Linked DNA regions of Lepisosteus oculatus. The protein of the gene in region 3 purifies or fractionates together with the protein of the main gene of each other region. This does not show direct contact. Links are inferred from orthologs where the notes say so. Each region holds a gene or a part of one and is shown on either strand. Other genes may lie near its edges.

The links.
Region 1: the proteins of stk35 (region 3) and ctdspl2b purify together in Homo sapiens (affinity purification with mass spectrometry; 3 studies listed by BioGRID and IntAct, counting the BioPlex papers as one, with this or other methods). This does not show direct contact. The link is inferred for Lepisosteus oculatus from reciprocal best matches to the Homo sapiens genes STK35 and CTDSPL2.
Region 2: the proteins of stk35 (region 3) and c25h1orf174 purify together in Homo sapiens (affinity purification with mass spectrometry; 3 studies listed by BioGRID and IntAct, counting the BioPlex papers as one, with this or other methods). This does not show direct contact. The link is inferred for Lepisosteus oculatus from reciprocal best matches to the Homo sapiens genes STK35 and C1orf174.

Annotation. Positions count from the first base shown.
Region 1 is NC_090700.1:47,154,973-47,165,489, reverse strand, and holds the start of ctdspl2b (CTD small phosphatase-like protein 2-B), read right to left. Parts: upstream 5,197-10,517; 5' UTR 4,923-5,196; exon of another isoform or gene 4,919-4,922; intron 4,847-4,918; exon of another isoform or gene 4,739-4,846; intron 1-4,738. UniProt on the Homo sapiens protein: Probable phosphatase.
Region 2 is NC_090720.1:3,840,040-3,851,213, forward strand, and holds the start of c25h1orf174 (UPF0688 protein C1orf174 homolog), read right to left. Parts: upstream 4,406-11,174; 5' UTR 4,274-4,405; coding exon 4,259-4,273; intron 2,307-4,258; coding exon 2,220-2,306; intron 999-2,219; coding exon 591-998; intron 1-590. Other genes in the region: b3gnt7l (UDP-GlcNAc:betaGal beta-1,3-N-acetylglucosaminyltransferase 7, like), read left to right, coding at 7,958-9,205.
Region 3 is NC_090711.1:13,098,290-13,109,582, reverse strand, and holds the start of stk35 (serine/threonine-protein kinase 35), read right to left. Parts: upstream 4,531-11,293; 5' UTR 4,318-4,530; coding exon 3,810-4,317; intron 1-3,809.

The DNA.
Region 1 (10,517 bases), on a different chromosome or scaffold from region 3:
AAAGGTTTTGTGCTTCCAAATCACAGAATAAATATTTGAAAGCATCTTGATGTTCTGATACACTGCCTATTCTCAGTTTCTTGGCGCAAGGAACATCTTTATTGAATCCAGCCCAGCAAAACACCAGATTACAAGGAGCATAGCAAAGTCAGCATGCATTGTTTTATCTACAACAATCCTAAAGCAAAACCAGATGAAACACCTCCAGTGTAGACGAGGCCTACACACGTGTTAAATTGCCAGTCAAACCCATGTCCAGCCAATACATTACAAAGCTCCCGATACAGAATCATTATCCCCTCCATTACCTCACTAACTCAGCCGTAGGTCTTATTAATTGATTACCGAACAGAATTCTTCTCTGCCGCCTGGCCATCAAGCAACAACTCCTACAGTGACTAGAGACTAAGAAAGTTTGGTTTTAAATTGCTTAATTCATGACAGAAAAATAATATGTAACAGAGAGTGCACATCAAGCTACCACTGTAGATACCTGCTTTCTACTACAGTCTCAAACAGAAATCACAGACGCCTGTTAGACGTACAATGGAGCGGTATACATCTCAGACCTGATTACATGTTGGCTGGAGACTGCGATATCCTTATGGCTTTGTCACACTCAGGAATGACAGCCCAAGGCACAGTGCTGCCAGCTGAAGTATGAACAATGGAGAAGCCAGGGGTGATGGGGGAATCAACGAGTCAGGAGCACTGACAGGCCTGGCCAGGACAAGGGAATAGCCCTGCCCACGACTCGGCTGATGCTGCATCCCGATCTGAAACACTGGAATAAAATGCAGCCAGAAACAACGCAAGCATCTGTCATCTTTCAGCTCATGCAGTAAGCATGCTCCAGATCTGGCTGCAGCAGAAACAGCTTTGTTGCTTCTCGAGTCTCCCTGCCTATTTTTACCAACACAAAGCATGACTCATCTGCAGTTTTCAGCGCAGCGCTGCCAAAAGCACGAGCAACATCTTTGCCACTTTCGTTTTCATTAAAAGAAAAAAAAAGGCATGAAAAGTTTAAGTATTCTACATAAATTGAACCAGACAGTCAGTTCATCTTTCACTAGTAACTGTACACTTGATGTTTTTTAAATGAAAAACAGATGTTATAAATGCACAGAAGACATCCACCCCCCAATATCATTCCATCCAAGGAATAGCACTACTTCCACGTCTTCTGCATTTCTCCCCTGAGGCTAATTAAGGAGAAATGTTACTAAAAACGAGTGAGGATGCCACTTTCCCCCTACTTCCCCTTCATACTATATACATTTATGTTAGTGCACAACAATGATACTAACAGTTAAAGGAGATTCAAGATATGTGAAGAAAAATTTCCTCTTAAGACTAAAGCTATTTGCATGTATTTGTAGTTGTAGTTGCATTATGAGTTGCACTGTCACAAAATCACTCTAAAATGCTTCAGAATTCACACAAATACATTTCACTCCAGTTGCATATATTACAAATCATTTAACCATCTAGGAGGCAGGTTCAGAAGAGTAAGGAAAAATGAATAAGGCATTCAGCTGAAACAGCTGCCTTTACTCCCCGAATAAAACAAAACCATGTCCTTCAAGCCAGTAAAAAAAACAACCTCTGTCCTATTCCCATGTGCAGTAAAGTTGAAAGCTCAGTAATGTTCATGTGCAGCTAAGCTCTGGTACAAAGATGACGGGACATGTTCCTACCTTACAGCCTGCAGAGCAAGCTGCCAGCTAACCAGGCCACCACAGCAGGGCAGACCCAGGCAGAGCTGGCACAGCCCGCACACTGGCATCACACCAGCACACGGCAACACCACACACTGGCATCACACCAGCACACGGCAACACCACACACTGGCATCACACCAGCACACGGCAACACCACACACTGGCATCACACCAGCACACGGCAACACCACACACTGGCATCACACCAGCACACGGCAACACCACCACTGGCATCACACCAGCACACGGCAACACCACCACTGGCATCACACCAGCACACGGCAACACCACCACTGGCATCACACCAGCACACGGCAACACCACCACTGGCATCACACCAGCACACGGCAACACCACACACTGGCATCACACCAGCACACGGCAACACCGCCACTGGCATCACACCAGCACACGGCAACACCACCAATGGCATCTCCATGCTTACCCACACAGGACACCCTATCCTACACATGGCACAGTTGCTGAATCGCCAAAAAGAAAAGAGCTGGATAATCTGAGAATGGTTTTGTTTTTTTTAAGACAAGGGATAATCTAATGAAACCAATTCATCAGAACAACTTGGTCATTCAAATGCCCACTGTGCTTCAGTAAAGGTTTGAGGTCCCCCCAAGAAACTCCCAAAATATGGGTACAGTTAGTGTAACAATCGAATCAGTTAAATTGTTAGTGTTAATGAAGGACTCCGAGAATGTGCTTTTGTGTACTAAGCTAATGCGATTTGAGATTATTTCTAAAATACTTTACACCTGCTTTTTTATATGGAAACATTGTTGCTCAATCACCTGTAGTTCAGCAATTTGCATCTCCAGCAATTTAACTTTCAGATCTGCTTTTCAGGCACCACTTAAACACATCCCTGGGAACCGGCATTATGCTGAAGAAAGGTCAACACCACTAAAACACAGGGGGACCTTCACTCAGAATTGCTGGCTATCTATTGAGTCTGTTCAGAGAATTAGTCACATCTCTATCAACAGTGTATATGCCACAGCAGCTATTAATGTCAGTGGGTTCACCAACAGGAGAAATCTTGTTATGCGAAACTGCAGCAAGCTGTTTTCTAAGCAAGCACAACAAAATGTTTGTTCGTCCCGCTGCAGTGGTATTTATATTCCTATTATTAATTTGTTCCTTTATAATGCCTGCATACATTTTCAGGCATTATGAAAAAATGAGAAATTTTCAAAGCAAACCACGGGAAGAATCCCACTTTTTTTTAAACGGGGACGAAGATTAAACTACCCAGCTGTAAAACTCTCGTGTGACAGAGCGCGTGTGAGCTACAAAACGACTGGCTCCAACATGCCCAGGCAAAAATCACAGAATTGTGCCGGCAACTTTGACCAATCTCAGAGCACATGGAAGGACACTGAACTCTTGACGCGTCAAAAAGGCTCAGTCAAACCCTCCATCCCCACCGTCCCCCAGTCTCAGAAGAGACTTGATGTATCCCTACTGCACGACTGTAGCAGAGGAATGTCACTGTGACGCAGGCGGGGGATCATTACCGAATGCAGCAGGCTTGAAAGCCGCGCTTTACCTTACAGAAGTCCACATTCCACTTCATTGCTGAGCGAGACAAGCCAGGCTACAAAACCTTCACCTTGAAAGGCACCATGCAAACGTACACTGTTGTACGACTTAGGTAACGGCAGTTCTAGTTCATTCACCGGTTGTGACATGTTCCGATCAGGTACGGACACTTCAAAGGCAATCGGCTCTCTCCTTAAGATAGAAAAACTACGAACATGTCCTACAGCTGCTGCTGGCGACTCCTGGGAGGAAAATGACAGGCTATAAATCTCTCTGCAAGTGTGAAGTGTTAGTAGTACAAAATAATTCGGAAAGAAAGGATATCGCTAGATGACATGACACTCAACGCGCTGCGCGATTTCCAACACTTGCGAAAACCTTTCCAAATAAAACTTAAAATACTGTTTTTAGGATTTGTAACACGGGGATTTAAAAATACTGGTAACTTTAAAATGCCTACCGCACATGACAGGAAAAAAAATTAGAAACGTGTATCAGGGTTTAGAGAAATTGTAAAAGGACGCCGTTAAAAAAAAGCACTCAAGACGCTTATTTCCTCTGTCCACGGCGACTGGAAATACTCAGACTCGTTAGAAAAACTGCCGAAGTGCACCGACGGTCAAGTAAATCGTATTCTCCCACAATGTGCAGGAGCTTGGTAAAGCTACAAAACAGTATTAAACTTTCCCTCGCGATGCATTTTTTTTAAAGAAAAAATAAAGTTAACGTGCTCTCCTGTCGCAAACGCAGCCCCGCTGGTAAACACGAGCGCGAGCTGAGACGGCGCCGAGCGGAGCGAGAAGGAGCACCGCGCCGCGCGCGAGCAACGCCCCCCGAGCCGCAGCTCGAGGAATGAAACCTGTGAATCCGAGCCCAGGCAACTCCAGTGACAACAAACAAAGCCGCACTTTCTCCCGGCTGCAGAGCTTCAAACTTCAGCCGTGCACTGGCGAGAGCACTACATCGCAAACACATGGGCGTTTTTTCGGAGAGTAAACGGTTTTTTTTTTTCGGGGGGTTTATTGTGTTGGTAAAAGGCACACGCGAGAACCCCCCCTCCCTGCCAGAGAAGTGGGCGGGAAAGGGGAAGGGGAAATCGGTAGGGCTTCATAATCAAGCCCGGGGCGGGAGATGGGAGACGAGGCCAAGGCCTAACACAAAAAAAGCGCTCCGTTTTCCCACTCACCCGAGCAAGCGTTTAAATTGAGGCATGACTTTGGCTCCAGCGCTGCCGTAGCGCCACTACCTGTTTCTCTTTCAAGACCGACTCCCCCAAACAAAGTCTTCAACTACACATTAATGAGTAATTTAGCCCCCAGGTAGAAGCAACTTGTTCGCAGCAAGGCAAAAAAAAATACATAAAAAGGCACCACTTAAGGTAGATGAACTAAAGTGGAAGGAAACAACCAGGTAGCGGTGCTGATGCAATTTATAAGAAAGCAAAACAAAGGGGAAAAAAATACCTCGGTCTGCCTAGTTGATCTGTGCTGCCCGGAAAATGTCATGTTTGAAATCCCCCGGTAGGCAGAAGAAGCCGAGATTTAAAAACACAGCGCCTCGGTGTGCAGCACGACAGAAGAGTCAATATTTATTTACAGACACACAAACCCCCCGGAAAGCCGCGGGAATAGCGCCCCACTCACTTGCCAGGTGTCGGAGTGTGTCGTTCCCGACGTGGCTGTCTGTGCCTGGCTGCTACTCGGCGCAGCGAGAGCTGCCTGCTGCCTGTGGCCGTCTCGGACTCGCTGTGTTTAGGGACAATCTCTCCGCTCCTGCGCTGCTCCTCCAGTCGCCATTTCCCGCCTCCTTACCGACCCGCAGCACCGACACTCTCAATGGCAGAGACCCGGATGAGCCGTGTCCCCGCTGCGCAGGCGCAAGCACAGGCCGACCTGCGCTCCTCCCCTCCCCGCCACTTTGAACACAAACAAACTCCGCAGCGCCACCCAGCGAGCCCGTCGTCACAGGTGGCGACACGCGTGTGCTGCCGCCGTCTCCACAGCGCCGTGCCCTTCTGCTGCTTCATATCGCTCATTAAATCAGCATTTTGTTGTCATAATTTTATCATCTTTTTATTTGTATAGATCCCGGGGTATTTAATCCCTTTCAACTGGACTTTCTGCTCGTTTTAAAAAAAAACCCGAAAAGACACTGTACAATCAAGCAAAAAACAAAACCAACAACAAATGACGGGTATATACAATTTTAAACATCAAATTAGAATTACAGGCTACAGAATTACAGGCAGGAACGTGAGTCTTCGGACACGATTAAAAAGTGCCGATTGACGTGTAAGATTTAATATTCGCTGGGAGATCACCCCCCATTCCTGGAGGAGAATTGAACTGGGAACTGAAAGAATCCCACAGCCCGGAGGCACGTACACGACTCGTAGGTGTATGGGGACACAGGCAGGGACGCATTGCTCAGACCCTTCAAGGAAGCACTGCCGTGTCCCGAACATCCTCCCGAAATCCCACAGAGACCCCGCGCATAGCGATCTGTGCTCATGCCTTTGAGTTCTGGTTGAATTCGACATCGAAACGCTGAGATGTGAATAACGCATCAGCTTGTTGAGAACACGTTCGGATACACCTGCCGGCGCTATATTACATTCATCAAGCCGGTAAAGGAGCGCTAGCTTTTCTGTATCACACGTGTAAAGTTAACGAAGGTTACAAAATGACACCTTCGCAAAGCCGCGAACGCGAGCTTCAGATGCTAAATTACGCTGGTCAAATCCCCTCCGAAGATTCCTCACTAGACAACGTGGGCTCCACGGCTAAGAAAATTATGTTTATTCCCCCATGAGAAGCCCCACGTTTTTTGACAAGTTATTCGTGAACAAGAAAAGCTGCCGTGGCTCGGCGGCATAGGAATTTGGCACTCCGATGGGAACAATCGTGCAGTAATCACTAGAGTAAAAATGCGTTACTACAGCTCGCTCGGAATATCTGCATTTCTGACCTGGACCAGCATGAGGTCAGCTGGTTAATATCCGTTAATATCCAATTGTCGGGTTAAACGCGACACCGAGTTTCTTGCTAAAAACGAAAAATCCGACATTTCCTCCAGTAGAGCACCAGTATAATCACTTTCCCGTGTAGTGAATTGGTTTAAAATTCAAATGATTTGTAAGGGATGAATGTGTACCTCCGCGATCTCATGCTAATTCCGTCTGTCTCGTGTGTGAAATGGCACTGGTCACCTTTGAGAGAACATGCTTGTATGTTAAGATGACACACATGAAGCTGGCCGTCTCCGGCACGCCGAGGGAGCTCCGCGCGGAGGGATGCCTTTCCTCCGGAGAGGCAGACGGACTCGCCGGGCTTTTAATCGTCATTAGCATCGAAGTGCGCGGCAGGTAAAAGACAATAGAACAGCACGAGCAGGCTCGCGCGGGTCCTGCCAGAATCGACCGGGCTGTCTCACGCGAGGGATGTAAGGCGGAGCACCGCCACCCGGAGCGTGGGGTTTGTCCCCCACTCGCACCTTTAAAAAGCAACGGCTTATGACTGTGACGAGTTATTACTGCCGCGCCTATCACTGTGCGGCCGCACGGGGGAGACGCACCTTGAGTATTACCTAGCCGGATAAACAGCTGTCAAATTAAATTTGCATTAAAGCAGTATGTGGCGCCCCAGGAATTCTCACAACTGGGCCTCAGATATTTCAAAGCCTAAAGTAAATATGCAAATGTAAAAATGCAGTGCCACACGCTGGCCCCTCCTCAGCACACACACATGCAGCTGCCTTCAAAAAGCCGCGTTCACTGATGCTGTGATAGGAAGGCAGCGGTCGAAGAGTTTCCGATCAGCCACCCCAGTGCAGACTGAACAAAGACGCGTCCACTCGTAGCTCAGTAAAACGCGCCCGGAGGTCTTGCTATTAACGTTCAATAACGAAGATGTGCCGTTTTCCCTGGGCACAGACCGGGGCTAGAAAAGACCGCTTGTTCCAGGCGACACACAGCCCTGTATTTAGTGCAGTGATACGGATGACTCACAGTGCATTCGTGTTCGTGCTTGCGTTTTATTCCGTTTGTGCGTGGGGTGAGGGCTATGACTGTGTACGTGGGGACACTATGCAAGATAGTCATTCCGGACCTACAGACAGTAGTGAGACTTCCCCACAGTGTGAAGGACGCTGCGTTCTAAACTACCTTATCTTAAATTTGACTAATTTAAATAATGACAAAATTTGTTTCGGGGGCCATTTTCAATCTGTACGGCATTTCGGTGCACTGGTGGGTGGATGACTGTCAACTTTGTATGTCCCCCAAATATAACGTGCGTGGTTCAATAGCTAGGACGTTCCTCGTTGGTCCACAAAAGTAGAGAGAACGCGTTTGCCCTTTTTAAATACAATGTGGATTTTTTTTCCAGTGGGCAGGGTCCCCTTTGGCCTAGACATCTCACTCAGGCCCGTTAGTGTCTCGGAGTTGTTTGTATGATCATTTGTAGTTCCCAAAAAGAACACGCCGTCACATTCTCGCTGACACCTTACTTTCGCGTTCCGAAAATCTGCGATTACCTGGACGAGGCAGCTCGGTATCAGAAAGCTGTTAATTCCAGAAACTAATAGGATGAGAATGGATAAGTAGGAACGCGAGGGCAGTACCTTACAGCCCCAAACGAAAGCCAGATCTCTCTGAGACACCACAAAATATAGCCGATCAGAATGATTATTTTTTGTTCCTAAACGTGTTTGCTGCCCTTCCATTTTAAAAACAGCGGCTGCGGCTCCGTATTTTGAAAGGAAACAGAACTGCGCTCTTGCGGTGATATGCATGCATTTAAAAAAAAAAAACATTCGTGTGTTTCAATAAGAAAAGCAGATGAGAAGTTTCCACCTGGGACTGTGACGGCGCTGCTCGACGGCTTTCTGGCGAAGCCGCTAGCTGAAGCGCGCGCATGTGTTCACAATGGCAAAAACAGGCACTGGGGTGGAAATTCGCCGGGATTTTGAAAACATGCAAATGGTTGTCATGGCGATGTATTATGAAAGATACAGCTGGTGGTATCAGGGATGAGTGCTTCGGAACCCAAGTCGTGTATTAGAGAGCTTAAAGATATTTGGTGGAATGTCTTACTCTTTTGTGTACACATTCCTTAACAAAAAGAAAAATATATCTTTCTGTACACTGTCGCCGGGTAATCCTTCGTTATCTTTCTGACTCCCCTGCTACGAACTGAAGGGATCAATTTAAAACCAAAGACATCCATAACCGGCTTGGTCACAATATTAACGGGATTTAAAATAACAAACGGCGCAAAAAATGGAGACTTCGGTCTCCAGTCGAGGCGTTATTTAGTGTTTTGTTTCTTGTCTTATCTTATGACGAAGGCAGTTCATATGCTATAGATGGCAGAGAAATAAAAAGAGCACTTATCTGTTACTAACGTCTTGTCCGGGTTTATGGGGACACTGGCGGTTCTGGGAGATTGCACCTGTAGCAGAAGTCCTAGTACCTTAACATCGCTTAGGTTACATAATCCATTACGAAGTATCCTGCAGATCGGACACACGATAGTATCTACACCTATGACAATTACTAACTACTAATATGGGTGATGCTTTTTTCCCCCAAAGCGACTCACATACAGTATGTTCCCATGTATACAACTGAATATTTTACTGGAGTAATAAGGGTGAATTGGGCACAACAGCATTTTCCCACCTGGAAACCCGAAGAAGGCTCCACAGCTGAAACGTTGTGTTTCCTTTCTTCCCTTTTCAGCATAGAATAAACCTTTACCTGTTCCTTTTCCCACCTGGGATTTGAACCCACCACCTTCCACCCATGAGTCCAGAGCCCCACTCGCTGCTCCCCAACCCACACCCTGTGGATTTTAGAGAGGATGAGGACACAAGAGCACAGGGAACCGCCGATCCACAAACGTCTCGTATTACCCTTAATTATCGTGGACCGGGGGCTGTCACTCAGCTGGAGAACGTTGTGGACCTATTTGCAAAAAAACAAACTTCAATCCACCACTATAAGCATTGTGTGTCAGGGGCTGCCGCCTCCTCCTATTGTGCACGTCTCTGAGCTACATACTCTACACACCTCTCTCTTCCCTTGGGAAGCGCCTTCTAGAATTTTTAAATGTTTCAGGAAATAAAAATAATTGGATTGAACTCCCACGCCCACTGTTACATCCATGGAACCTGGATATCGGAATAACGGACCGAGCCCCCAAGTGCTGTGTGCTTGGGTCCAGAGTCTTTTCACACAGATGTGGCTGTGCTGCACTGCTGTGCAGGCACCCAAGTCCTTCTGCTGGGGAGACGGAGCAGAGCACTGCCAGCAATGCCTCAGCTCCGCGCAGCTAACTGCAACGGTTCTTGGGGTCTCCACCCTTGCCACTCCTGCCCTGCCAGTTCGTCCCCTCGATGCCTGGGCGCGAACCCGAGTCTCCAGCGTTACGCAACAGGGAACTTGCCAGCTAAGCTAAAGGAGACCTTCCTCAGCCCAGGCGGCTGAGATCCCCCTTATACACAGGGGTGCATTGGTTACATAAACATATCAAGAAAACATCAACTGCAATAAATACTATATGAGGTCCAATTTTAATCATTTAGCATGGTGAAACATGACTACTAAATCCGAGTATTTTAAGCATACAGCATTTGTACCATGAAGTGTGAAGATGTATATATGAAGGCTGTATAGGTTTTATTTTTATCTACCGCCAATTTTCCTTTCCATCAGGTTAGAGGGTTAATGTTGTCTCATTAAGGAGCTGAGCTTTCCTCGCCCCACCTTTTCCTATAGACGGCACTAGAGCCTGCATGAAAACATTCAAGGAAAGATCAAAAAGTCGTGCTTGTCCTCTCTCCAACATTGCAGCATCATCGTAAAGATTGGTCACAAAGACGGCTGTAGACCATAATTCAGTTGAGTAACCATTGTAACAGGACGGCTGGACTTTAATATGCAGTGAATCTCCAGATAAGGTCTTCATGGGCAAAGCCAAAAGGATCCTTTGAATACTGTAAGTATCTGATGAGGTCATGATGCATGAAAGATATCATCCCACCCCAGGAGATGTCCAATAGACCACCAAGATCAACATTTGAGCAATCTACTGCCGTAACTGGGTACAACACCCAAACCTACTTTTAATATAATCATCTTTGCATACAATTGTAGACAACCGTTCTGTTTTTAAACAATCATTCTCTGGTCTGCAGTGGTGGCAGCCAGCCCTGGTCCTGGTATTCTTCTGGGCGGTCTGT
Region 2 (11,174 bases), on a different chromosome or scaffold from region 3:
TATGCGCGCTGATCTGGTGGCTAATCAGGTTTAAGTTTATCCTGGCTTCTGGGGTACAAGGCAAACAGTTCTGAGTGTTCCCAGATCGGCGGCTATGCTAGTCCCCTGCAAGATCACTCCCATTGACACTGCTACTCGTTTTAAAAGCTGGGCAGAGTCAATGTGACACCTTGTTCTTCACTCAAGGCTACATCACCTAGGGACATGACTACACAGCCTTCCGGTTTGGTGGCCAGAGCCCTGCTCACAAGTTGTTTTGGACACAGCCATGCACATCTGCAGAGTATGTAACCAAGAAGTCCTGCGATTTTCTCTTTCCATAAAGAGGTGGTCATGTTTCCAGTCCTAAACTATGACGTGCAAGTCTGTTTCTCTTAAATCTGTAACTTACTAAACCAGTTTCTCATGACTAATTTGTGATAAGTGTGTTCTTCAACCAGGCTTGTATCTGCGGGAGAAATTCTGCTCTAAAATGTTCTGCACTTCAAGGTTTGAAGTCATTCATTACCCAGGATGGGACGTAATCAAACAAAAGGCCTATTTCCATAACAATACCATTCCACCACCCCTACCACAAGCAGATAAGGTACCTGTACAAGTTCTATATTCCCAAAGAACTGGCCCACTGGCATTGGCTGGTTACTGTCCTCGTCCAGGAAAACACTGTTGTCCATTTGGAGCTCCAGCTTTGGCACACAATTATCAACTGCTCTCTCCGCACTCGAGTTCATCGCAACACCGGATTCAGACTCCAAAGTCCGGCACTCGCTGGCTCCTGTGGCGCTCATCTCCTCTGCCTCGGGGAGATGGCTCTGTGTGCCTCTCGCTGTGCCGAGCTCCCTTGCAGAACTCCCATTGACGCCCTGCTCCTGGGCTGTTCCTCCCGACAGGCCACCGACGTCTTCGGGGACATCTGCCGACGTTTCTGGCTGCGGTTCAGGCACTTCACATTTCTGCCGTTTGACAGAACGATGGGATTCAGTCTTCTTCAAGGGAGCCTGTAAAAATGTAAGTCTTTCATGAAATGTGAGGACCCTGATTTTGATTGTTGCTTGACAGAACAGACTCCAGCTTCCCTGCAACCCTGAACGGGGTGAAACAGCCCTTTTCAAAGTTACTAATAATCTTCTTATCACCTCTGGGCCTCCGATTCCGCTTCTCTATCTATCCTTATTCTCCTAAATCATGACATCTCACTCTCCCACCTTGACACTGTTTCTGACATGACTTTTACCTTACTGATCACTGACATTTATCTGTCTTAGGGGTTTTAGTTCTGAAGTTGGGCCATTAAGACTGGTGTTCCTCATAGCTTGATACTGGGCCCTCTGCTATTCAGCATTTCCATGTTCCCACTTGGTCAGTTATTAAAATCACATGGTCTGAATTATCACTTCAAAGTTGATGACTCTCAGGTCTACATCCATACTAAACTTGACACTGTAGCAGCTGTTTCTATGCTCTCTAATTGCATCTCTAACATAAAAAACTCCATGACTCAAAACTTCCTTCATCTGAACTGCCACAAGATTAACTCATGCTTCTAAGCACCTCTCATCAACTATGTAAAGCCAATGCAGTAACCCTATCTGTGGATGACACTGTACTTGAATGTCAATCTAAATTGAAGAATTTGGGCGTGATATTTCATTCCGGCTTGGCATTTGAACACATGTACAATATATTGTAAAAACATGTCAGGAACATCACCGGACTATGTCCTATATTCTCTGTCTGTAGCAGAAAAGCTAGTTAATACATTTGTCTTAACTAGAATTGATTACTGCAACGCTCCATTCGCTAGGGTATCTAAATCCAAACAGAATCCTTAACAGGTCTTGTGCAAGTGATCACATTACTCCTTTCCTGGAGTCCCTGCACTGGCTTCCTATCAGGTTTTATGTCAAATTCAACATCCTCATGCTCACCTATATGGTCCAGACCTCTGGAATTCTATCTACAAGGATATCAGAGAGTCACCTACCCTAGGCACAAAATCCAGACTCAAAAACTTCTTCAGAAAGGCTTTTATTTAGTTGGTGTCTTTGCTCCTGGCATCTTCTACTGCATTTTTTAATCCCTTGTGGTTATACGTGTTAACTGTTTTCTTTTACCTTTTCTGTAAAGTGTTATGAGAACCTACTTTTAAAGGTTTCTGTATAAAATGTAGTTGACTGTTTATTATTATTATTATTATTATTATTATTACTGTGACTGACCTGAACTGAACTTTCCACTGCTGTGCTGAGTGAAGCATGGGAGCTCTTTCCTTTGAGTCTCTCCGAGCTCCGGACTTTACCCCGGCCCTGGAAAAGAAAAAGGAAAAATCAACTGGAATAGGAACACCGATACAAACCTGATACAGCCATCCTTTTACTAACCTCTTCTCCCATTTCAGAGGCTATCCTGGCAAGCAACAGGGTACAGCCTGGATGGGATGCCAGTCCACCGTAGGGCAGACAGACACGTACACACTCACACCAGGACCAAGTGTCACAGAAGCCAATTAACCTATCAGCATGTCTCTGGACTGTGGGAGGAAACCCAAGCGAACAAAGGAAAAACAAACTCCATACAGATAACACCCCAGGTCTGTAATTGAACCCAGGGCCCCAGCGCTGCAATGCTAACTATAGCACCACCACCACCAGGTTGCTGGTTCAAATCCCACGGGCAGCAGAGGAATCCTACTCCGTTGGGCCCCTGAGCAAGGCCCTTAACCCCAGCTGCTCCAGGGGCGCCGTATAAATGGCTGACCCTGCACTCTGTGTGCCTGTGTGTCTCATTGCTTACACTTACATAGCACTTTTCTGGACACTCCACTCTAAGTGCTTTACAGGTAATGGGGATCCCCTCCACCACCACCAATGTGCAGCCCCACCTGGATGATGCGACGGCAGCCATAGTGCGCCAGAACGCTCACCACACACCAGCTATTAGTGGGGAGGAGAGCAGAGTAATGTAGCCAATTCATAGATGGGGATTATTTGGAGGCCATGATTGGTAAGGGCCAATGGGAAATTTGGACATGCCAGGGTTACAACTTTTTTAGAAGAAACAGATTTTTAGTGATGACAGAGACTTTACGTCTCATCCAAAGGACGGCGCCTGTTAACAGTATAGTGTCCCCGTCACTATACTGGGGCATTAGGACCCACATGAGACGCAGGGTGAGCGCTGCTGGCCCGATTAACACCTTCCAACAGCAACCTAAGTTTTTTCCAGGGGAATTGAATTTTTCCATTCATCTCCCATCCAGGTACTGACCTGCTGAGCTTCAGTGGGGTGCCAGTTACAGAGTGATATGGCTGCTGGCGTTCTAGCACTATGAGAACTGAGAACTATGGCTTTGTTCTCACACATAACAATACACAATTATTGCCCACCACATCATTCATCATGGTTTCATGATAGCTCTCAATATAATAAAATGTGTAAAAGATATGTGATATGGGAATATAAAAGATATAAGATATTACAATGTAAAAGGATCTATTAAGGATCAATTTGCCTTACTTTTTTAGATTTAACTCTCGGAAGACTAAGGTTACCTTTAAATAGAATTTCTCACCACTCTTTACCACAGCTAACTCCCTTATGATACATAATCCTTCACACACAACATTCCTGCCGGTTATTGTTTTGGAATGAGGTGCTGCTAGAACAATACTGGGTTTTTTTTTTCCAAAGGGAAGGGTGTAGAACTGAAGCCTCCAGCGAAGCCACGCTGTCGGCGCAGACTTCCTGGGATCCTTGTGGAAATGGTTGGATCAGATGAACCGAACTACTAGCAACCTAACGTGCGACAAGAATTCAAGGGCCTCCTCTCGCTCGAAACCTTTCGTTTACAGAACATCTCAGTGTGCTGCGCTGTAACGCATTACCTACCGGCGGAACAAACCTGGAACCCGAGTTCACACAACCGGGGACACAGCGCAGGCACAGACCTCGCTACCCTCGCAAAACCGCCTGAACGCGTCTTCCAAAGCGAAACACGGGTCTGAAATCTAGTTTCTGGGAAATTGAACTTTTCTTGGCCCCAGCTTGCTTTTTCAGGAAGCTTTTATTATGTAAGCGAGGGGTGTAAATATTTACAATCGTAATATAATTTGTATCCCGAGTGTTACAGCACGTCCAGGCTCTCTCGTCTCAAACTGGCGAACGCCGGGGAGTTGTCTCCGTTAAAAAAGGCCGGTCTATCGCTATGTACCGCGCCTACACTTTTTGAAACCCTGGAAGTTTCTCCGGCTTAACCTACCTGTTTTCGACTCATTCCCAGTGCTTTACCGAGGTAGGCAAAAGTTAATAAGTATTGCCGGGGAGGGTAACGCACAAAAAAAAAGTTTCTACAAAAGCAAAGCCCGGTCGGCTTCAAAACTCCAAGCAGCCGCTCGTCAAATGACGCGACTGTGCGCCAAGCCCAGCCCACCGCCGGGAGGGCCGGAGGCGGCCATTGTGGGGGTTAAGGGTGCGCTGCGTCTTGGGGTGCTTAGTACGGGGCATCTTCCCCCAGAGGCACAGGTTCTTTATTAATCGACACGTGTGCTTTGCCGATAGATTAGAATTCCATTTTTTTTGCAGCTATCAACTCGATTATTAAATGCCGAAATGCAACACGGGCGTGTGAGATGTAGTGTTCATTGTGTAAGAACTTATTTTGTATTATTTGTATGACTAAGCAGGTGTTTAATATATCGTGTAACGATGGCTTTTGTGCTGAAGACATAAAAAACAAGATGTGTCGCTGTTATTATTATTATTATTATTATTATTATTATTATTATTATTATTATTATTATTATTATTATTATTATGTAGATCTTCTTAATGCCACTGGGTGGTGCTAGGTGCATTTCTCTTATTTTCTAGCTTGCATCAGGCACAAGTACAATCCTTGCTGCATTTGCGTTAATACACAGTAAGCAGAATTTGTGTGGTTTAGCCCTCGGGGCTCTTTCGCAAATCGAGATTACTTAGTTAACCGAATAACAAAAGTCTGACTTTTCGGTTTCACGAAGCGGGATCAAACAGCACCAGGTTAAGCCTTTAAAACCTCTATATTCCGAATGTTGTGACTCATTATTTACAGAAACTCGAGCTCTTGAGATTCTTGGCCACAGTATTTTTACTGTGTTCGCGACTCCGAGCGCATCAGCAAAGCGACAGTGCGCCGTGTGATAAGGACAGTGGTGGTTGCACTGCAAGTCTTTATATTCATTCATAACGATTCCGGGCCGTGCAAAGAGGAGCTTCCCTCTACTTGTACTTTTTGTTTCCTGTACATAAGTCCCGCGATCTACTGTATATATTTGCATGCAGGATTTTCTAATGTAACAGGTGCTCTGAACTGCACAGACATTAAAAGCCCCACCGGGTCGAAGGAGACCGATTTTGTTAAAAGAAAATCAATTCACGACATCAATGTACTGGTGGAAAAAAAAATTATAGCCTAAAAAATATGAATTGATTACACAAAAAGTCCATTATCACCATGTTTCCTATGATATTCGATGATCCATGATGTACGGTGTCGAATCAGCAACATGTAGACTCGAATATTCAGATAGTCCACATTGCGCTTTAAATTTAAGCAAGGTATTGAACACAAGCAGCCATTGGTCTGAGGTACACTGTGCTGTGAAGATATTGCATGTAGTTCCATCGATCAGTGCTTCCAGTCAGTTTGACTGGCTTCTTTCTGGGGATAGGGATTATGGCAGCTCCAACATCTAATTGACCCCTTCCCTGATCCAGAACCTAGTAAAGACAAGAGCCCACATTGAGATGACATTTGGGATCCTCAAGTCAAGATGTGATTGTCTTAGTGCTCTGAGGGCAGCCCCAGACAGGCCATGTCTAGTTAAACGGTGGCCATTGTTTTAGGATATATTCTCTCTAATTATGTCTGGGTTAATTTTTTCTTCCGATTATATTTAGGCCACATTTTACTTGGCTTGAGACTTTCATCAATATGGTGGTGGGAGTCTCACCTCTACTAATCGATTCAGATAAAAAAACGTTGGTAAAAAGACAAAAACCCAATAAAGGAATAATTCTTTATTGGGTTGATTATCTTCATTCATTATTACCAATATCTTCACTATTAACGTTCAGTCATCTTCTGCTCATGATTCTTGCTGCTGGCTAAAATGAGGTATCGTTTTTATTCAAATGTTGCACAACACTGTGTACAGCATTTTACAGTTGTTCTAAAGAAAACCACATACCACTTTGGATGATATTCTTGTATTTTGTTTTTCCATTGCGGTCCAGTTCCATGCATAAAATACTGCAATTACTGCCGCATGAAAACAATATTGTGCCGTGATAGTTTAAAAGGGGGCTCCACTTCAATAACATAATGATAAACGTTAAGTAAAGATAATATATGCATGCTCTCGCCATGGTGATAGTTGTGTCATATCTTGAGATATTTCATTATTAACTTCTGTATCGGCGATACGGTGTTAGGCGACGTCCCCGGCTTTTGCAGCATTTACAGTATAACAGCTTTTATCTCCTCATAGTTTTCCAAAAGGAGTCGTAATTCATGGTCACTGGAAAAAACGCACGTTCACACTGGTGCTGGTGCTGATGAAGGAATCGATGCGGATAAAGCATGCCATTGCCGACAACACTGCTGTATGCTCTACTGTTCGTGCATTGATAAATAAATCTTGATTGATTGATGCTCTGCTGTCTTCTGGAGGTAGTCGTGAGCGCGCAGGTAGTCAGACTGGCCTAACTTGTTCAATTTAACCAGAAACCGGAGTTCTCCGAGGGAAAACGGAGCAAACCTGAAATCAGTTATCGATTTAATCCTATCCAGCTAATCTGACTGGATTCTGAAGTAGTTTAATTTATTTCACGAAACAGACGGTCTCACCTGCAGTGTTTTGGTTTGTGTGTGTGAATACTGGGTTATTTATTTTTTGATAAATTACTGTATGTATCAGCAATATATATATAAAGACAATATAATAAAATTGTAATTCTGCAAACTCGCAAGCAAAATTAAGATTTGGTATGCAATGTTTAAACCAGCATTTAATAATAAAAAAATAATAAATTCATGTACAGAAAGAAATCCGCATGAACGGCAGTAACATCTGAAACCACTAATCTTTAAACACCTGTGTGTACACAAAGAGTCGTTAGTGTCTGGAACAGACTACCATGGTACTACTCTTGCTTCCTTTAATAAACTGTTGAATGAGATGACCAGACCAATAAACTGCACGGAAGCAAACTGGAAAGATTGGCCAAATGGTATCTTATCGTTTGTAACCTTTCTTATTTTCTGTATACTGTATTAAAGCCACAATTTATGAGCCGCTTTTCAATGAGTTATGAAGGGGAACGCGTATTTCAATATTGCTACGACAGAAACTTCGCGGGGTGCGGTTGTAGGCGGTTTTGACTTCGCCCTCTAAGGTGAAACGAGAGACTTGGCTGTCCTTTAGTTGCTCGGAGAGGAGGTGTGGGTTGGGGAGGCTATGACAAAAAAAAAGTAGCGGAGAAGTAATTAGCAGACGCAGCGGACGTTGAAACAAAGCACAAATGAAAACGCTAGGGAACAGTCGGACCTTCCGTGTGAAAAGAAGGCAATAAATGCTCTTCAAACAACGGGGAAAGCGAAAGACAGACACGCGAGCCGCGCCGGAGTAACTTCTGGAAGACATTGGTATTCCTCGCCAGTAGGCATCCGCAGAAAGTAGACAAATTTCAAGCGGGATATCAATGACTGTGCACACAGGTTTCTTCCACGGAAAGATTTCAGTTTCGGGGATCATGCGTTCCCCGCAGCTCACTACAAGTGTGGCAGCAATTGACCGTTTCTATTACAGACTGCGGAATTTAAAACAGCACGACCAGACGACGGGGCCGCTAATTGCACAATGAAAAAAGCGGATTTTTATTTAAACCAGGTTTGCCTTTGCAGCTACTACACCTTTGTATGCTGAAGATAATGGAGTATTTTTTCAGACGGAAGAGAGCGCTGAAAACTCTTCTGAGTTTGTCTTTGGTCTGTGCCACGATATTAATGATCCAGAAGTTCAAGCTGGTGGAAGAGGCCGCTAAGGGCACTTTAATGGTGAAAACCAGGGCGGACGCCGGTTGGTCCAGGGTGAATAAAAATGTATTTAAAAGCGACTCTTACAATCATTCCCCCCTGGGACAGCCTGAGAATTCGGAAGCGGGTCATCTTGTCCCATTTTCCAACGTGACGCGTAAGGTTTGGGATGTGACTGCTATCAACTGCAGCGAGAATCCCGACGTGAAGAATAAAGACTGGTTCAAACGCCTGGACCCGAGATTTCACCAGTTCGTCCTGTACAGACACTGCAGGTATTTCCCAATGCTGATAAACCACCCAGAAACGTGCCGGAGCGGAGACGTGCACTTATTGATGGTGGTCAAATCGGTGATTGAACAGCACGACAGGAGGGAGGCGGTCCGCAGGACGTGGGGCAGAGAGCAGGTAACCGGTGGGAAGAGAATCAAGACTCTGTTTTTGCTGGGCAGCCCTTCCACCGGCAAGGACACGAAGAACCTCCAAAAGCTCATCCAGTATGAGGACAGGATATACGGAGACATCCTACAGTGGGATTTCATGGACACCTTTTTCAACCTCACCCTCAAAGAGGTGAATTTCCTGAAATGGTTTAACATGTACTGCCCCGGGGTGCAGTTCATATTTAAAGGGGACGACGACGTCTTTGTGAACACGAACAATCTACTGCAACTGATTGATTTTAAGACAGAAGAAGGGAAAGTGCGAAATTTGTTTGTAGGGGACACCATTTCCAAAGCTATTCCCATTAGGAACCGTCAGAGTAAGTACTTTATTCCCAGAGACCTTTACGACAAACCGTACCCCCCGTACGTGGGGGGTGGGGGCTTTTTAATGTCTCCTGAATTAGCTCGGAGACTCTTTATCGTCTCTGAGAAACTGGAGCTTTATCCCATCGATGATGTATTTCTGGGCATGTGCTTGCAGAAAATAGGTGTCGCCCCAGAACTTCATCCCGGTTTCAAGACTTTTGGGATTATGAAGCGCAAAATCAGTCCCATGAACAACGACCCATGTTTCTACAAAAACCTTCTAGTGATCCATAAGATGAGCCCCACAGATCTGCTTAGAATGTGGGATACAGTGCAAAATAAGGACTTGATATGCGCCAAAAAGATTGTACTGCCCTGAATGAACGTATAGTTGTATTCCTTTTACCGGGCTCCGCCTGAGACTTCACTGAATTTTTACTGGATAAGATTTATTTATGTACTGTATGCGACGTGCAACTCAGCTTAGGTGTTGACAGTTTTAACTAAGGAGGCTCAGTCTGGGAAGAATGTGTGAATTAAATGACACTTGATCTTTTAAACATCTGATCACAACCTTATGCCAGTTTTACATCGTTAAAAAGCCGAGTAATTCATTCACGTCTTTTCTTAGTTTGTAATTGCTGTCAGGGGTGTCACGGTACAGTATCCCTCTGTGAGCCCATAGGAACAAAAACGTTCTCCTACAATATCCTGAACTTTCGTCTTTATAATATTTAAAAATACATATTTTTAAATACGGACAACTGTTTTCTCTTGGAGATTTGATTTGGTTTTCAGACTCTGAATGAACTGCTTATGTTTCTTTCAGACTTCATGGACTTGTCCAAATTTTAATTTACATTGACAGTTTGATTTTAAAATGGCAGTCGTGGTCCATTAAAAAAAAACATGCACCCAATACAAAAGCCAAGTGTTTTACGTTTTTTAAATAAGTTTTTCAGAAAGTAAGTTGGAGGAAAACTCAAACTTAGGTTCAGATTTAACGACTATGTGGATGTAACGTGAAAACAAGCTTCTAGTGGAATACATTCTAAACTGAATGCTTAACAACTTAATCACATGGGGAAAATACAAACAATCCATAAACGATTTTTACTCCTAAAATATTACTAATACAATTTGGCCTAGGTTTAGGCACTCACTGAGCAGAGCAGCTTAAAAATAAAATTACTCCACGCGACATATCTGAGAACCTGTTTTCTTTTCCTCCTCTCAACATTTAACAAAACACAGTTTGGCACATTCACTGTTTAATCAATAAAACAGAAAGTGATTACTAATTATCCGCTTCAGAAGGATGAGTGGAAATACAGTATATTCACTGGATACTGAAGGAAGTGCTGATCCTTTATTTATAAAAAAAGTTCGGGGCTAACAGAACACAGTTTCTGTGTGTCAAAATCAACAGCTAACAACAATGACATGTTTTGATTAAGAAATAAACATTTGTTCTCAGATAACCAGCAAGACTGGGCAGGAAATGGCAGTGTGCCAGTTTGGTTGGACACTTGAGTGGCAGGCTGCAGTTGAGCCAATCATAATTCATTGTTAACCAACCTCAAATTAGTTTTGGCCCCCAGACGTATACTGTTTTACAGCGAAAGGACAACTTGGTCAGTCTCTTTCTTATATATATTTAAGATTAAATGTGCATATTAAAAATGTGTGTATTATCATAGGGTAGTGTAAAGACAAATTTGTTACAAATAAAAAAGTAAATGGATTTACAGTGGTGCCACAGTCCTCAAGAGATGTATATACATATATAATGCTGAGAGGCAGTAAAAATGCAAAAGATGAGTATTGGAACCAACAGCATTTATTGTGCCTTTAATGCCCCTTACTATACATACTGTACAGTATGTGAAATTCATCATTGTCTAGATAATGACATGATTTAATACAGCTGTGAATGTAAATCATTATTGTCCTGGCATTATGGAAGAACTACCAAGAAAGAAGTTTTGTTTTTATATATATATAGCTGGCCACAGCCTGCAATTGTGAGCTTAGCTGTTCCTGTATAGTCAGCCACTTCGACATCATCTGCAGCAGAGCACATTTCCCCTGGATGGTTTGATTGCAGTCGGTGTTAGAACTTTGACAGTTCATGAAGAATCACATTGTGCTTGTAAATCGGACATGTTGTTTTGTTTCCTTTGCAGTTTTCAAGATTCATATTTACTGTATGTCAGTTTCGTTTTCTGGCAAGAACATTCCAATATTGAATTATTTAACAAGATGCACAGCTAAGTAATATTCTTCAAAGGGAACCTTGGAAGTTCTCTTTCCCAAAATATGAGGCAAATCAAATATATTCCTTGTTT
Region 3 (11,293 bases):
CTCTTAGCTACTGCTGTCTAGAATATTGAAAAAGATCTGTAAATGACATTGGTCTCAGATATACCAAAGAAGATGCAGAGAGCTTTTTGCTTCATGCCTGTGTGGTATTTATTCCTTTCAATCAGACATGTTTATCAGTTTCTAAGGATTACTGGCAGTCCTCGGTTTTTATTTTGTTCTACACCAAACACTTTTCCTAGAATTTCCTGAGCATTTTCCACACACTCTGCCATGCCATCTCAACATTACCACACAGCAGTAAGCTTGCATAGCCTATATAATGATGTCATCAAGTGTCAAATGTGTGTTATGCAACAAAAGACGAAAGTACTTTGCTGAAACACTGAGGCACAGGCACTGACATCTGCAATCACACTTCTGTCCAAGGCCTGAGGCTGTGCTCAGCACACAATCCTGGCTGAGCCACACAGCCTGCCTACCTGTCTGAAATTAGAGGGAAGGCAGAGGCCTGATCAACTCTGACAAGGTCCAGCAGGGAAGAAGTGAGCTATTCACTATTCACTCGCTATAGCAATCACAAAACGTGAACTAATGAATGTTTCCACCCTCTAAAACCTTACCCTAGTGCCAGGCTAATGGTCAATGCTTCTGTTCATGTGGTTAACTACAGTTTGTTTTTTGATGGGAACCAAGATGCTCAATCTGGCTATAGGCATTTTGTAATGAATGAATGAAATCTTGACAGTATGCCTTGGAAGATGGCAGATCGGACCTGTTTGTAGCCAGTTCAGCACTGGAGGAAATGGGGAGGCTTCAGGAAAAAAAATGCATCTTTGTCGGGACCAACATCCAGAACTTGAACAGGTTGCTGAATCCAATATTCAATCTTTAAAGACGGGATTTAGTGAGTGATGCCTACACCCTACCTACTTTGACACCCATAGTTCACATTTAGCACTGCACAATATTTCAACTGAAGTATTGTCCTACAATGTTTTACTGCGATTTAAGTCGAGAGTGCAACCATTACTGGTTAACCAAATCTTACCTTTTCCATTATTCTATTTCTAATATTACCTTTCTATTGGCTACCATTTCCCACCCCACCTTGTTATACCACTACTTATTGGGCTGCATAATAATCCCTGTGAATAATGTGAAAACTGTGATTTAGGCTATTCTCTTGGGTCTAGAGCTGGCCTTCTGGATTAACTTAGTCACACACCCAAAAAAGGCTCCACAGCTGAAACACTGAGTTTCCTTTCCTCCCTTTTCAGCATAGAATAAACCTTTACTTGTTCTTTTGCGGCCATAGGCAAAACTTCCCTACTTGAACTTCTTCTGCATTACCTGCCACTTGCCCAATTGATACCACTTACCCAGAGCACACGCATGCCCACACTGCTGGCACATTACAGGCTTTAGAGAAGCCCACACTGCGAATTGAACTGGGAACTCCCACTGGCCCTTAAAGAAGGAAATGTAACTGGCATCGCAAAACAAGACCCGTTTTGTTCAAGTGACCTTTGAGCAGAGCAACTTTAATGGCAGCAATGGTGAAGAAGAGCCATAAGCCTGACTGACAGGTAGCCCTTTTTTCCACACAAATCTCAATGGTCTAAGGAAGAAAAAATAGACAACTGACCAAATCTTGGAAGTCTGGAGTTGATCATCACTGGAAACAAAAAGTAACTCTCCACATTTGGAAAAAAATGCTTTTGAGAAAGAGACTATGGGAATATTTCAGAACTCTGGAACGGCAAATTTCAGTCTTCCACAACAGAACACCCTGTCACTTTAAAAACAAGGGGCATTAATTTCTGGACAACCCTAAAAAAAAAACAATACAGGGGGCACAGATCTCCATGGCCCTCCATTTCCACCACAGACCAATGAAGAGGCAGAACAGATCCCACAAACTTGAGCTGTCACACAAACGGACACCAAAACAACAACAGCAGCTACCTGCAAACCGAGTCAGTGATAAACACTGTCATGACCAGAGAAACGGAAAACTGGCACTCCAAAGTCTTAATCACTTCTAGGCTTTAAAAAAAAAAAAAGTCAGCACCTCAAGATCTAAGCTTGATAACGCATCCAAGATTTCACATTACCTAGCATGGACTTTCAAGGGGAGGGGGGTTGGTCCAACACAAAAGGCAACACCAGCAAGGGGTCTCGCTGCACAATCAAAATTGTGGGGGAACACAGCAGCCCCACTGCATGTCTGGCAATATCAGAATTAAAGGGGAACCAACAGGAGCCACTACCTCCACTGCTGAAGCACGGGACACGTCTGGGCCACTACTAGATCAGGAGAAAATGAAATCTACTGAACTCATGAGGAACATTAGGGAGGTGCGATCTTCATCCCAGGGCAGAATTCAGCTAGGACACCAGAGATCACACACCCCTGCTTTTACAAACAAGCCCGGGATCGTTAATGACCAAGAACACCAGGGCCAAGAATTCTCACCTGGTCTGAAGGAAGGCAACTTCTACAACACAGTGTCCTCCTTCACCATACTGGGGCTTTCTGTGTTAGAAATACTGTACTAGAGGGAAAAGTACATTTACACTACCTGAACTGCCAACACCTCTCACAGCAGTAACCTGATTTTCCATAGAGGCCACCCAGCTGTATTCTGCTTACCGAGAGCTGAGCAGGTTGGCAATTGGTCACATTGACAACTGGAATCAACTTCCTGTCGTGAAACTCTGTTTATTTTTAAGTTTCAAATAATGTAAATATTTTGTCCAGTAAATAATAAATAATGTCAAGTGCCCTGACATCTCAAGGAAGAGACCGTATTCCCAGTCGTGAAAGGAAAAACAAACCAAACCTGTTTGTTCTAAACTGTAAAACACAAAAGGAAAGGGTTTATTCCCTCAGAGCAGGCTCCTTTCTGAAAAGGCCAGTAATCTGAAACACATAGGAAATGACAAGCCGTTAATTAACAAGGTCTTAAGTAAAAGAAGATAATCAGTTTCGATTCATGTAGCCTATGGCCTGTTTCCGAGGTGAAAACTGTACATTTGAGAAGGGACGTGAAATCACGGTCACCTGGTCCCAGCTCCCGAGCTCGGAGCGCCCACATGTTCATGCCCGGCGTTAATATTTCATCTCCAGAGAAGTGATCAGGCCCCAGTTACATCACGCAGAAAGGGAGGCCAGGGGCCGCATCAGCGCGGGCGATGCGTTTCCAGTCGGTGCGATCTGCTGCCCGACACTCACGAAAACCACCCCCCCCCAAAAAAAACACAGGCCGAAAACCTGCATAACTCCGAGGCCCCCCGCAAAAACGGAACCCGCACACTCCCGCTGCACGCCGGGCGAACGGCCGCTCTGACTGCGCGGCTGTCCGGGAAGAAGCCTTTGTCCCGGCCGCTAGCGAACCCCGAATGGGGAACTGCGTTTCAGGACGGGGGGGGAGAGAGCGAGTCGTCCCCTCCTGCGCACCGTTTCGGCCGACTCGAGTCGCGTCCTGCCAAGACCAGTTTAAACTCCCCCCCCTCCCCGCCATCACCGCCACACACGTGAACTTCGTGCCTCGAAAACTTCAGCTCAGTTCTGCGATTGCTGGGGGGGGGGGCAGCTTAAGACGCATCTGGACCGAAACTGGGAAATAAATTCCAGCGATTCCGCTGGTGTGGAGAATAAAATCGCTCACTTAACCCCGTAGACCCCAGGATGTTGTTACACGGAATACGGTAACACATGCATTGCTTGAGATCTGAAACCCGAATCGAGCAACGCACTTCGACTGAACGACCTGGGGGGTTGCAGCTGACCCACAGAGGTGTAGCGCCGGGGTAATTTTACTGCGAGGTGGGGGTAAACCCGGTACCTTTGAGCGACGTCTCCACCAGGCGCAGGTACTGCTCCGACCGCTTGTTGCCGTGGCTCATTTTCTGGGCCATGCCGTTCCGCTGCAGGACGCACTCCTCCAGCTGCACCACATTTTCGTGCCGCCGCTCCAGGCTCGCCAGGGCCCAGAACTCGGCCAGGGCCAGCTCCACGTTCTCGGGGGCGTCGCAGCGCAGCTTCTTCACGGCCACCCTGGCGCCCGACCGCCGCGCCACGGCCTCGTACACCACCCCGTAGCTGCCCCTGCCGACCTCCCGCAGGAGGCTGTAGCGCGGCCCCAGCACCCGCCGCGGCGGCGGCGGCGGCGGCTTCTCGCCCTTGGCGACGCCGTCGGGGGCCGAGCCTTCCTCCATCGGGACCTCATCGCCCCGGCTCTGCCCCGGCGAAACTTTGCCCACCTCCCTTTTCAGCTTCGCATTGCGAGCCCCGCTCCTCCGGCAGGCTCGCACGCTGTTTGTCCTTCTCCTCCCCCCGTCACCTGTATCCATGGGTCTCTTGTCGTTGAAAACGAACGTGCGGGGAAATTCGGTTTTCCTCTCCTCATCACTTTATTTCCGGGGGAAGAAAATTAGGTGAGCTACGCGGGGCTTGACGTGCCTTTTGAGACCAGAACTTGGTTTTTGGGTCGAACCCCGCTTTTCCTGTGCCAAAATCACGATTTGCAGCTCCAACCGTTTCCCTATCTCCAAACTGTTTGAACTAAATAAACATCCAAACCTTTGAATGAAGGGGTGGACCGTACCACTCCTCGTGACGAGGGAGGTCTAGTGTTGTACAGTTTTACCACGTTCACTACTAATAACAATAGCAGCATGCCGTTCTAGAATATAAATACTTCGTTAAATTAAGAAGAAAAAAATATATAATTATATTCCAGCCTCGCACAAGTTAAAGTTTATCAATAACCTTTTGTTCAGTGTCCCCCCCACATAATTCCTAGAAGTCTCATATAAGGACGAGTCCACTGTTTAGTCATGGGGGTGTCGTACTTACAAAACATTTACGTATTGTTTTGTTATGCGCAGTATATAAATCTATTTTTTGGTGCAGTTAATTATTTGAATTATTAGACGACATAATCGGAACTGGTTGTCTTAGCGTACTAAACTGTTTTGTCATTTAAAGTGTAAAGAATTTACGTACCCCCTTCGCTTTTTCCCATGTTCGGTGAAGACCGTTCGGACATTGAATGTTTTGATTTTTTTTAACCCTGTGTGCAATATTTGAATTTGTTAGTATTCAAGCACACGAAATTATATTTGAACGTATTTTTTGCCATGTTTTGGGGTTAGTTTTAATATTTATATCTTAAAATATATATGTATTTTTTTTCCCGAATAACGTTCTTAGAGATGAACTTCCTTGGGATACGTGTGCTTAGCCCCTAGCTTACAGTTTTCACGTGTGTCCGGAGAGCACGTGTGACAGCGCCTGCTGTTTGTGGCACGCTTGTCTCGTACCGCGGTCCACATGACTGTGCAAGTGAAGGATAAAGCTCCAGTATTATATTTATCACTAAATAAACGTGCAGCGCGAGTGACGTCAGGTGGCAATTTTAAGCAAAACACAGGTCTCACTCGCTCAAACAATTTAGTAATATGTTGTATTCATAATATGTTATATTGTGAATATGACACATTCATAATGTACTACTGTACATATATTACGTACAAATATTCATTATATATGCTATCATCTTATATTCTCCTTTAAGGTTATTCCACACTGGTCAGCATTGATTACAACTGCTCATCAAGACCGTAGATATTTCCTGGGATTCTTGGAGTAAGTAAACTGCAAATGATTCAGAAGAATCCACATTTAAACAGGACGAGCATAAATTGAACATAAACAGTATAGAAATCCGCATCACTGTCCGCGCTAACATTAAATTTAGAATACACTGCTAAACTGATGAATGTAAAGTGAGAGAAAATGTTCTCATAAGCTTTTATGGGATAATATTTCAGTTATTCTCAATGATCCTTACTAGGATGTTCTGTTATAACTTGCATTAGTGTAATGGGTGCAATTAAAGTGACAACCTGGCAAGAAAAAATGCATACTCTGCCATGCAGTGAGAACACTGTCATGGTGGATTAGGATCCTGTGACTGATCTTCAATGGGCAAACAATCTGCAACACAGCTTGAAATATTGAAGAGCCCCTGGGTATAAACAGTTAACCTTTGTCTATCACATCTAAGCACTGTAACCAAAACAGAAAGCTTCAGATAGCGTGGAGAAACTCAGCTAAGTTAGCGACTGGGTCTCTCAGCTCTCAGTCTTTAGGTTGTTGAGTAATTCAGTTAGTACCTGTCCTGCTGAACCATAGAGCAGTAATAATACAGATCATTTCGAAAGACAAAACTTGTGGTTAAAAAGTACGTTCAATCATTGACCAGACCTTGTGCAGCTCAGTCCCTGATGTAATTCAAGCACAGCCTTGGTCTTGGGATCAGAAGACACAGCGCCGGTCCCTAGATGGGGGCAAAATACTCTACAGCTAAACACTACGTCCTCCAGCCGCTGGAGAGGTGTACACTGTTTAGGCTTCAAGGGGATGACATCATCTTCTACTGCATAACAGGCTCAACATTGCTAAAGTCCTCTTACTGTCACATCCAGATGTGAAGATAAAAATGATTCAAAAATCCTTATGCTCACCTATAAGGCTCTGCATGGCTTTGCACCTCAGTACCTGTCTGAACTTTTATCATCCTACTCCCCACCTCGCAACCTTCGCTCTTCTAAGTCTGCTCTCCTTACTGTCCCCCAAGCCCGTCTACATTGTATGGGTGACAGGGCCTTCTCCTGTTATGCCCCCAAGCTCTGGAACTCTCTCCCCAAGGATATCAGAGAGTCACCTTCTCTAACCTCCTTCAAATCCAGACTCAAAACCCTCTTCTTCAGAAAAGCCTTTACTGAACTGGTTCCATTCTTCACCCCTCTGGTCTTCTTAGTACCACCATCCACGGTCTCCTCTATATATTGTAATTGTGTTTTATCTTGTGTATTCTTCTTATTTATTGTTGTTGTCATCCTGTAAAGCACTGAGAAGGCACCGCTAAAGGTGCCATATAACATAAAGTTTATTATTATTATTATTATTATTATTATTATTATTATTATAAACTGTAAGCAACATAAAAGCACTGCAGAACGATGTTTGCTGGCAACAGGCAGCAGTGTGGGACAGACAAAGGAATGACAGGAGGAAGAACAGATCAATGCTGGATCATGGAGATTCTGAAACAGAGCCCAGGAGACAAGAGATGACCAACCGAGTGACCTCAGAGAAGATGGGAAGGTGAAACGAGGAAGTCTTTGGGTGCCATCATCGTATAATGCGCCAAAGGCACGAGCTTCGGAGAGGTCTTCATCCAGAAGCTGATTAAGAAGAGCTGCTGTTGATGAAAATGCTGATCCTGCTGAGAAAGAGTATTGCATTGCTGTATTTAATACAAGAAAAACAGTGTGATTGATAATGGGGAAAAGGCGGTCAAAGAATAAGTGGATATTTGTGCAACATTGTGTTTCATAAACATGGCTAAAATCAGCCACAATGCAGAAGAAAAAAGAATAAAGCACCGAACCTGTCTTCAATTAATTTGCCATATCCCGTTCTTGTCTAGGACTCTTCCAATAGGATACAGCAGGGGTTGTAAACACCACCATGTACCTGCTGGCTTGGGGAGGTCTTCATTCTCATCTGGTCCTTCCCAAGCCAGCAGGTACAAGGTGATGTTTTCTAGCCTGGGGAGATTACCCATTGTCCCATTGTGAGGGGAGACCTCACGCCATAGGGGTACCTATGTTACCAGCAAGGAACTGATAGCACCAGTTATCCCGACTGGACAGCACGGCCAGCACCTGAAACACTGATCTCACTAATCAGACACAAGCCCAGCCTACTTCCCACAAATGCTGACACACAACCTAATTACCCAACCACGTCCCTCGTCCTGCACCACGCCTCCTGACATCCACTAATTAAGATAAGCTAATTAGCCATATATAATTTCTTTGCATTAGGAATTCATCTTTTCGCATACCCCAGCTTGCTCTCCATGAGACACAGACAGGGAGAGAAGCTTGGGGTCAGAGCTCAGGGTCAGCCATTGTACAGCACCCCTGCAGCAGCTGGGGTTAAGGGCCTTGCTCAGGGGCTGCAGGAGTTGAACCAGCAACCTTCCAGCCACAGGCGCAGATCCTTAGCCACAGATCCACCTCTCACCTGCACTCCCAGCTTAGTACTGAGTTAAACCTCACGAGCTACCTTCTCAAAACTTCAACGCTTAAGAATCCTATTGTCTCGTGAAACTCATGCTACTTGACCCACGCTTGCTTCCGACCATGATTATTGGCTACGCGACTTGGCTGAGTAAACCAGGCTTTTGCTCCACTTTATTTTTTTTCTCTCATCAGCCTTCGACTAGCACCACATAGGGTCCTATCTTCTTTGTCGTGACCAACTGTTTCTAACACCTTGTGATGGCCAGCCATGAAAGTAGGGATGCACATGTGGTTCCGGAGTGAAAAAAAACGTTGAGTTAAATAAAAATGCTTAAGGACTATAGAAAACTTGTTAGGATGAAAGTGTGTCACACTTTCTGAAGGCACCTGGCAGCCCTGGGCTTGTTTTCCCTGCACAGACATACAAGTGGCAAACTTCAAAACGAGAAGTGATTGCTTTATCTCCCGAACACCTGCAGACTCTGTATTTCTCTCAGGAGTACGTTAAGGGCAATAAAGGATAAAGGTAAGCTGAGCATCACCTAGGCGCTATTTATAACAGGGCTTAGGAAAGCTTACCTTCAATAACATCTGTTATTTATCATGTTCCTCTTCTGGAAAGACAGGGAGAAGACATCAGTTCAGTTTATTTGTCATACGCACAAGTGCAATTTACATGTATGCTTTTTTGCATGTATGCTCCAATACAAAGACATTAAGGAGTCACCAAAAACACAGTCATAGGATACACATGATGCTAGTCGCTTGTTTACCGAGCCAGTAAATGTTTAAGATAGCCACTGAAACCAAGCCGCTGATTATTGATTCACATAGTATAGTTTACACCTAATGTATGTACTCTTTTCTCACTGTTATGTCACACTGTTTTTCTTTAGAAAACTTTGTCCAATTCAGGGTCCCGGAGGAGCCAGAGGTTATCCCAGTTAGGATAGATCCTGGCGCAAGGCGGGATATATCCCGGACGGGACATTTTCTTTTTTAATAACCACAATCATTTATTTCAGTTTTTTGTCCGAGCTCTCCGACTTGAAGCCCTGGCCAGTGCTGGTCGAAGGGCTGGGATGAGTCAGCCAGAGCTCTGTGGGCTCTCCAGTACCTCCTGTGACTTCCTGGGCGCTGGCAGGGTTGTAGAGGTGAGATGCACCACTACCTTAACTGGCACTAACTGTCCTGCCAGCCTGAGATGCCATCCCAGAATGGCCCTGCAGCTGGCTGTATCAGAGGGGCTTGTCAACCTGTTTTGAGCTCATTCCTCAGTCATTGCCAGAACATTGAGTCCTAAACCCAATAGTGATTCCACATTGGGTAGATGTATAATAAAACAGAAAAAGTTGGCCTCCTGTTCTGTGTAACCTCTTAAAGTTTTGATTGACTAACATCTGGCATCTGTGAGTTATGCTGGAACACAAGTACAGTACTTTGGAGTCCATCTAACATTGTACTACACTACACAAGAAACACCTCATAAACTTTAGAGTTTTTGCTTCAAATTAGCATTCCAGTCTCTATGGGTGAATATGTGTTTCTAAAGGAAAATCACAACAGATTAATAGTTTCTCAATAATGAGCCTGTTGTTCCTAAAAAACTCTTCTGATATTCCTCATGTTCACCTGATTGCAATGGGGCAGGAATTTGTTGCCTTACTGTGCAGAACGCGGTAGACCTTTGACTGAATTTTGTTTATTGCATTGCTTTATTAAAAAGAAACATCTCCCAGACCTCTTAATCCTTATGTCATGCTGTGTTTATGAAGATACAGGGAATGCAGATATATTACATGGGTATGGTCTCCTATTGCACACCAAATGTCAAGTACATCTTTGTGCAAATTCGCAAAGCCAAATTTTTTTCTTAACTGTCAGCTGAGAGTCATACCAGAGCGAAAATAAAAATTGAAAGAAAATGCACTGGAGGCTTATTTTAATTAACATTGTTAACATTGAGAATGTCAGACACTTAAGGAACTAAATGGACGGCAATATGCATTTAAACTGAATTGCTAAATCAAAACTAATCTGAGGAATAAACTGAGGTGCACCACATTCTTATGCATGCTATTTATCTTTAACAGCTGAAAGGTAACCAAAGTGACCCTTTCTGATATTAATGTCAGTAAAACCCCATTTCTGGGGGGAGAAATAATGTTCTCTTTTAGGACGTTAGAAGTATGTATCTCTGACAATAAATCCATGTAAAGGCTAGTCCGGATGAAGTGCTAAAAAACTTAAATTTCCATAGCTGACTCAAATAAGTGGGTAGAATATTGATTATATGAACAGCATGGTGGCACAGTGGTTAACACCACAGCCTCCTAGCACTGGGTCTTTCCAGTCAATTCCAGACGTGGGGTGTTATCTGTGGGATGTTTGTGAGTTCTGTCAGGGAACCAGTAAGTAAAATGGGAGGATCCTCATGCGTAACCAGGAATCCTGCAGAATGTGGAGTAGCACAGGGACAATCCAAAACACGTAATCCAGGGGGCTTGGTCAATTGGAGAAGCAATGAGTCCGGTAACCAGGGAAATCCGAGAAAGACAATCCGAAAAACAAAATCCAAAGAGCATGGTCAAAAAGGCAGGAGCAAAGATTTGGAACCAGGAGATCAGTCAAAATGGTTAGAAACACACACAAGAGAATACTTCGGGAACCTTCTCGATAGTGAGCCTGGGTTGGTGAGTGAGGGAACTGTAAATACTGAAGGGAAAGGGATGTGGTTGGATTATTGGTCTGGGAGTGAGAATTTGTGGAATCTGGTGCCTGTGGGAATGTGAGGGGTTCAATTAGGAATGAGATGGTGAAACAGTGGGTTTGGGAATGTAACAGCGTTTGCGAGGGAGAGCACGGGGCGTGACAAGGGTACAGAGTCAATTTCCCCAAAAGCCAATTAACCAATCACACCGTAGCGCCCATGTAAAAATAGGGAGAACATACGAACTCCACACATATAGCATCCCAGGGCCGGAATTGAACCCAGGGCCCCAGCACTACCGGACAGCAATGCCAACAAGTTCTCCTCATGTTTGCTTGGATTTCCTCCCATCGTGCAAAGGGCTTCTGGGAAAACTGGCCCTGGTGAAATTGAGTGAATGTCCTGGGAGTCCTTGTCCCCTGAACTCTGTGTTGTATTCCAAGGCCACGGTTGTCTTTCTTTGATCAACGTGCTCCAGACCTGCTCTTTCCCAGACTGGCTGGGTGCACTAGCACTCGT